2 linked regions of the Xenopus tropicalis genome follow. The protein of the gene in region 2 purifies or fractionates together with the protein of the main gene of each other region. This does not show direct contact. Links are inferred from orthologs where the notes say so. Each region holds a gene or a part of one and is shown on either strand. Other genes may lie near its edges.

Evidence for each region.
Region 1: the proteins of acvr2b (region 2) and inhba purify together in Homo sapiens (affinity purification with western blotting; 3 studies listed by BioGRID and IntAct, with this or other methods). This does not show direct contact. The link is inferred for Xenopus tropicalis from reciprocal best matches to the Homo sapiens genes ACVR2B and INHBA.

Annotation. Positions count from the first base shown.
Region 1 is NC_030682.2:57,864,620-57,868,451, forward strand, and holds part of inhba (inhibin beta A chain), read left to right. Parts: intron 1-2,501; coding exon 2,502-3,349; 3' UTR 3,350-3,832. UniProt on the Homo sapiens protein: Inhibins/activins are involved in regulating a number of diverse functions such as hypothalamic and pituitary hormone secretion, gonadal hormone secretion, germ cell development and maturation, erythroid differentiation, insulin secretion, nerve cell survival, embryonic axial development or bone growth, depending on their subunit composition.
Region 2 is NC_030682.2:13,801,034-13,804,865, forward strand, and holds part of acvr2b (activin receptor type-2B precursor), read right to left. Parts: intron 3,785-3,832; coding exon 3,641-3,784; intron 3,550-3,640; coding exon 3,401-3,549; intron 1-3,400. UniProt on the Homo sapiens protein: Transmembrane serine/threonine kinase activin type-2 receptor forming an activin receptor complex with activin type-1 serine/threonine kinase receptors (ACVR1, ACVR1B or ACVR1c).

The sequences.
Region 1 (3,832 bases), about 44 Mb from region 2:
GAATTTTTCCACAGGGATTTTTTGTGCCCATTTTGGAAAAAATCCACCAAGGCGAAATGCGGAAAGTCACCGCGAATCCATGCCTGCCGAAAGATTTCGCTCACCACTAATTATGATGTATTTTACAGGCAATTAGATCATCGATTAACTGCCAAACATAATTAAAACATAGAACGGATCATTTACAATTTTTAGGTGCAGCATATGAAGCTAAAATAGGTTTAGAATAGCCCTACTGGTTTAGCTTTTATTGTGCATTAGGGGAAAAGTGCAGCTCAGGTATCATGTAGGCCTGTTCCTAACACCCATTATGTATCAGGGGGTAACTACAGTGAATTACTGTATCTGGTACAAAATGTTGCTTTGGTTTGTGGGAGCCACAGTGATTCTAGAAATGTTACATTGTGGTTAAGAACATGATTTTTTTTGTGCTTTGCCCATTACAATACATGTATCCTCAAATATTTGGTTGAAAAGTGATACAATGACAAATAACTTATATATGCCCTTTATTCTTCATTAAAATGTGTTTGGTTGGAGAAGAAATATAATAACACATATGAAGAACTGCAGGGTGGAATGTGTGAACAATGAATTAGATCTTACATAAGGACTTGATCATACAACATACCCCTATATCTGATTACACATGTAACTATAATTTATATCCTGTAGATCTGGTTGGTGTACACATAGACCACAAATGTAGATGACCAATGTGTTCTTGCCATCAACTCCTGTTGACTAAATAACCCCAACATACACCAATGAGTTAGTGGCCCCATACATAAAGTGACTGAACAGTTCCTTAAAAAATGAATACATTGGGCAGCTATCACCCTCTGTGGTTAGCTTTAGCATTAACAGCGTATAGCTTAACATTCTGCCTACATTTCTAAAGCTATAAGTCAATATATAAAAAGGATAAGGATAGACAGACCAATGCACTTGAATTGGTGTATACCTGACAAAACAATCCATTTATATCTAAGCTAACAGCACACAAAGCAGCTAAACAACATGTTTACTGAGCTGCTTTACTTTCTCTATACCAAGTGCCAAATTTTTAAATGCTATATAAAGATTCATATATGCAATCTAATAAAGAGATATATGCAGCGAACTGGATTTCCCCTGGCATCAACAGTGATCATATGTTCTATTCAGCATACATCTTTTTGCACTTGTAGCACATTATGACAATAAAATAAATCTTTATGACAACCTAGTGCAATGCAAAAGATTTGCCAACTTGTACATAACTACCATATCTTGTAGAGCTCTGTGCCAATTAGTGTATCCAAGTATCCATGACAATAAACCAACACATTTTGCATTTAGATGTTGCAACATAATTTATGGCCAAACCATGTAGTAGTGCTGTGCTGTAAACAGCATCTGTTCATGTGTTATACAAAATACAGTCTACATATCTACAACATACAACTAAACAATAAAGATAAAAATAAGATTACCATATTATGAAATTACAGTCTCCAAAAAAGCTTTCCGTGTGTTCCTATCAAATAAATGGGTACATATATATATTTTATAAACATATATATATATATATATATATATATATATATATATATATTAGTACTTGCTACAGTATATCTAGAGGTGTCAGTTTCCAAAATTTCCTTTGTATTCATGTTTTCCTCTTATACAGAACAATATGATGATCTTGGAATCTTATTATGAAATCCTTTTGTAATGCCATTTATACACACTGCAGAGCATCCTTCTGTTTACAGTGCAAATGAAACCCGTTCCCACTCATTTAGTTAACAGCAAAAGAAAGGTTCAACGATAGTTATATAAGCATCAAAGAATTCTACCAATGCTCTTCAGTCAAATCTTTTAATATATTTCATGATTGGATGGTGGGGTAAAGCACGGACCCAAGTTGTAAAACCTTTAAGCACATAGCAGAGTGATTTCTGCTCCATATTTGGATAAAAACATTGTGTATAGTTCCACAAAGACAACTATCACTGAATACAATTATAGGGGTCATTTACTTTGAAAAGAAAGGCAGCAGGCAAAGAATAGAGGAATAGAGGCAATGCACTTGTTTTTGCACTTTCACACTGCCATCCTCGCATATAGAATTGCTGCTGGTCTCTGCACTTCATTTCGGAACACTGTGTTGATTCTTTGTCTTAATTATAGTTATAGTTGTCTAACTAAGGAAAAGAAATAAACATACATCTTTCCATTCTTGAATTGCAGAGACATTTTCATTTAACAGTTATATAAAATAGTCTTCAATAAATTAAGAATATTGCTTGTAATGCAAACAGCCTTCTACAGACAAAAGGACAGGCTCTAGTTATTACCAAGGAAAACAAGAAAATATATGTATATTTATGTAAAATGATTCCGGGTTGATAGAGTAAGTTGCATGTCTTCAAAAAGTAATTTCTAAATGTAAAGCAAAACTCTTAAGCTCCTTGGCTAACATTTTTTTTTTGTTTACCTTCTCTGTCAACATTCAGGACCATCCAAGAAAATACTGCGCTTTGAAATTTCCAAAGAAGGTAGTAACTTTTTAATTATTGGAGAAGCGGACCTTTGGCTCTTCCTAAAATTGTCCAAGGCGAATCGAAGTCGCGCCAAACTGACTATACGGTTGTACCACCTGCAAAGAGGTCAGAAAGACCAACGTGGATCTGAGAACAACAAAAGTGAACTGCTTATTGCAGAAAAAGTAGTGGATACAAGGAAAAGTGGATGGCATACATTTCCAATAGCTGGCAGCATCCAGCGTTTACTTAATCATGGCAAATCAACCATAGATATCAGAGTAGCATGTGATCAATGCCAGGAGGCAGGGGCTACACCTGTCTTGCTTGGAAAACGTAAGAAAAAGGATGATGAAGACAAAGAAGCAGGAGCATCTGGTGTTGAGGAAGAAAAGGAGCAATCTCATAGGCCTTTCCTAATGATTGTTGCCCGGCAGACAGATGAGCATCCGCACAGAAGAAAAAAACGTGGCTTAGAGTGTGATGGCAAAGTTAGCATTTGTTGCAAGAAGCATTTCTATGTCAGCTTCAAAGATATTGGTTGGAATGATTGGATCATAGCACCTCCTGGCTACCATGCCAATTATTGTGAGGGAGACTGCCCTAGCCATTTTGCTGGAACTACTGGCTCTTCCTTGTCTTTTCACTCCACAGTTATAAACCAGTACAGACTGAGGGGCCAGAGCCCCTTCACCAGCATCAAATCCTGCTGTGTGCCCTCTAAGCTTAGAGCTATGTCCATGTTGTACTATGATGACGGTCAGAATATAATTAAAAAGGATATTCAGAATATGATTGTGGAGGAATGTGGCTGCTCGTAAAGTAAAGAAAATAGAGCACTGTCATTGTCAGCATTGCAATCAAAATACACTAATCAAGAGAAGTGCAAACGGACAAAGATCAAAAGTCAGAGTTATCTGGGTTTGGGGGGTGAACTTGATTCATAGTTACCAGCCTGCAGCAATTTTTATCCAAACGTGGACACCACTTTTTTAAGCGCAACTGTGGATTTTATTTTAAATAAAAGCACAAGAACAAATATATAGCTATTTATACAATGTTTGTGTATCTCTTGGGTACTTCAGTTAGTATACAGGCAGGTATACAAATGTGTATAAATAGGTACACTGTATAGATATCCAGAGAGTCATGTTTGATGCCATGTTGTCAGTCAGCAGTTCATAGTTTCAGAAGAGTAAATACATTGCGCAGGTGATCTCACCTTCTTCCTCTGCACTATCCTTGCAAAAGTAGACAAAAATGCAGAAAAAAAATTACAAAGTTAAATTTCACTACGGTGCTGA
Region 2 (3,832 bases):
ATTTAAACAGAATACAAACCGCACAGCATTAAAGGGCACTGATCAGCTGTACCTGGCAGGGACGGCACAAAGGAATCATAATTAAGATATTTACAGACTCCCGCCTTAAAGGTATAGTTACACCAAAAACAAGTAATTCTGACCTGAAATATTTATATCTACTCCTTTTTTTTTTTTTTAAAGGGCCAGTAAACCTTTGCTTTGAAATTTTCCCCATATGGGTTTGCCTAATAGAAATAATCAAATCTAAACCTATATTTACTGTATGTTCCATTTGCTTTGTTTCTCCAAAGAATCAGCCAAAATGCCTTCAGTTAATGCCGTCAGGATATATACTCATTGTCATCTCTCACAGGGATCCTGTTGTGTTTATAATTCCACCAACAGAACCAGTAGGCAATTGGGCTTAACAGTCAGTTAAGCCTGTACAGATATTCCTTTAAATGGGCTCATATCCTGTAAAGGGAGATCCCCTATACTAAGCACAATTCAGCAGGAACAGCCCCCTAAGTTTGCTCATAGCCTGTACAGAGAGATACCATAAAACTACGGCAGCATAGGGATTCCCCTGTACTAAGCACAATTCAGCAGGAACAGCCCCCTAAGTTTGCTCATAGCCTGTACAGAGAGATACCATAAAACTATGCCAACATAGGGATTCCCCTGTACTAAGCACAATTCAGCAGGAACAGCCCCCTAAGTTTGCTCATAGCCTGTACAGAGAGATACCATAAAACTATGGCACATAGGGATTCCCCTGTACTAAGCACAATTCAGCAGGAACAGCCCCCTAAGTTTGCTCATAGCCTGTACAGAGAGATACCATAAAACTATGGCAGCATAGGGATTCCCCTGTACTAAGCACAATTCAGCAGGAACAGCCCCCTAAGTTTGCTCATAGCCTGTACAGAGAGATACCATAAAACTATGCCAACATAGGGATTCCCCTGTACTAAGCACAATTCAGCAGGAACAGCCCCCTAAGTTTGCTCATAGCCTGTACAGAGAGATACCATAAAACTATGGCACATAGGGATTCCCCTGTACTAAGCACAATTCAGCAGGAACAGCCCCCTAAGTTTGCTCATAGCCTGTACAGAGAGATACCATAAAACTATGGCAGCATAGGGATTCCCCTGTACTAAGCACAATTCAGCAGGAACAGCCCCCTAAGTTTGCTCATAGCCTGTACAGAGAGATACCATAAAACTATGGCACATAGGGATTCCCCAGTACTAAGCACAATTCAGCAGGAACAGCCCCCTAAGTTTGCTCATAGCCTGTACAGAGAGATACCATAAAACTACGGCACATAGGGATTCCCCTGTACTAAGCACAATTCAGCAGGAACAGCCCCCTAAGTTTGCTCATAGCCTGTACAGAGAGATACCATAAAACTATGGCACATAGGGATTCCCCTGTACTAAGCACAATTCAGCAGGAACAGCCCCCTAAGTTTGCTCATAGCCTGTACAGAGAGATACCATAAAACTACGGCACATAGGGATTCCCCTGTACTAAGCTTTGTTGGTCAAACTTTATCAAAAAATAAAATGGTGGAATAATTATTCCACCATTTTATTTTTCTATAAAGTTTGACCAACAGAGGGCGCTGCTTTGATAGAGTCTATGGGCAATTTTCCTTCTTCAGAGCAATCATGGCAGCCCCCACTCATATACAAATAGGCAGGAACAGTAGCTGTAAGTTGCGTAAGGGCAATGTCTGCTTACACAGACGGGCAATAGCTAAAGGCAACACTAAACCTTCATTTTATGGATCTGTCTCAAGGAAATAAGAGCTCAATGGACAGTTACTGTCACTTTCTCTCTCCCTTACATTCATGAAGGTGTCCCCATCCCTGTTAAATTAGAGAAGCTAAAGGGGTGTGGTCTAGCAGCTAACACGGCATGACACAATGTCACGGGGGTGTGGTTAGCCAAACATGGCTGCAATATAGCGCTGTCTATAGAAAGTACAATTCCGTAGGTTTTCTCATACTTTGTTCAGACAGATACTATTCCTACTTACGCCAGCAAACTTATTCTTTAGCAGTAATCAACATTCTGCAGGGAAATTCTGAGTTAATAGTGGTCCTTTAAAGCATATATATTATTAGAAGAAAAAAGTGATTTCAGGGGAATCAGATATATTTGGGCTGATGATTGTAAGGGCTACATGCACGGCTGAGCGATGGATGAAGGGCCTAATGTCACGCGACTGCTGATTGGAGAGCCCTCAGAAAATCACTTTCCCGGCTCGAGTCTAACTCCTGTCGCACTTGGCGGCCATTACGGGAAGCAGCGACTATATTTTGTTCTGGAGGATAATAGGGAACCTGGAATATTAAATACCAGCCAATCCCTGCAGTGAACTGTCCAGCCAATCCCTGTAGAGGGGCCCTAACAGATGGCATGTGTAGGAATGTAACTAAAACAGATAAATGTCATGCATAACAGGCTAATTGTTAATAACCATAAATAAGCATTCACCATTTCTGCCCTCCTTTATATGGGCAAAGAACCCCTCAGTGACTGCTAATATCCTTATCATTTACAGTAGGGGGTATATTATCCCTTATAATACATGAGTGATACTCAGAGTTCCCTGTATAACTCAGCCTGCAGCCTTGTGCCTTTATATGGGCACAGAACCCCTCAGTGACTGCTAATATCCTTATCATTTACAGTAGGGGGTACATTATCCCTTATAATACATGAGTGATACTCAGAGTTCCCTGTATAACTCAGCCTGCAGCCTTGTGCCTTTATATGGGCACAGAACCCCTCAGTGACTGCTAATATCCTTATCATTTACAGTAGGGGGTATATTATCCCTTATAATACATGAGTGATACTCAGAGTTCCCTGTATAACTCAGCCTGCAGCCTTGTGCTTTTATATGGGCACAGAACCCCTCAGTGACTGCTAATATCCTTATCATTTACAGTAGGGGGTACATTATCCCTTATAATACATGAGTGATACTCAGAGTTCCCTGTATAACTCAGCCTGCAGCCTTGTGCCTTTATATGGGCACAGAACCCCTCAGTGACTGCTAATATCCTTATCATTTACAGTAGGGGGTATATTATCCCTTATAATACATGAGTGATACTCAGAGTTCCCTGTATAACTCAGCCTGCAGCCTTGTACCTTTATATGGGCACAGAACCCCTCAGTGACTGCTAATATCCTTATCATTTACAGTAGGGGGTACAGTATCCCTTATAATACATGAGTGATACTCAGAGTTCCCTGTATAACTCAGCCTGCAGCCTTGTGCCTTTATATGGGCACAGAACCCCTCAGTGACTGCTAATATCCTTATCATTTACAGTAGGGGGTACATTATCCCTTATAATACATGAGTTGGATATCTGGCTGTCAGAGTCAGACTTACCTGTGAGCGATTGCAGGTTTGTGCCCTTCCCCTTTACACCGGGGCACATCTTCGTGCAAGTAGGCCAGCCCACGAGCCATCGTCTCTGTTATGTGACACAGTTCATTCCAGGTGACTAAGTTCCCTTTCAGGTAGTCTGTCAGAGAACCCTGCATTACACAGAAAGAGAAGAGAAAGCAGCTACATTAGAGGGATAATTCACTCTGAGGTTAAAATGCCAGGCTCCAGTAGAAAACCTGCCTTATCATGGAACGCAGTGATGAGCCACAGCTCCATCTCCAGGTTGCTCCCCCTCTTCTCCGCGGCAATGAACTCCAAGAGGTTCTCGTGTTTCATGCCCACCGTGTTGAAGATCTCTTTCTCACATTGCCACGACTGCTTATCCTATAAAAAAAAAAAAGGGGGGGGGGGGTGTTGTTTATCAGACTCTGG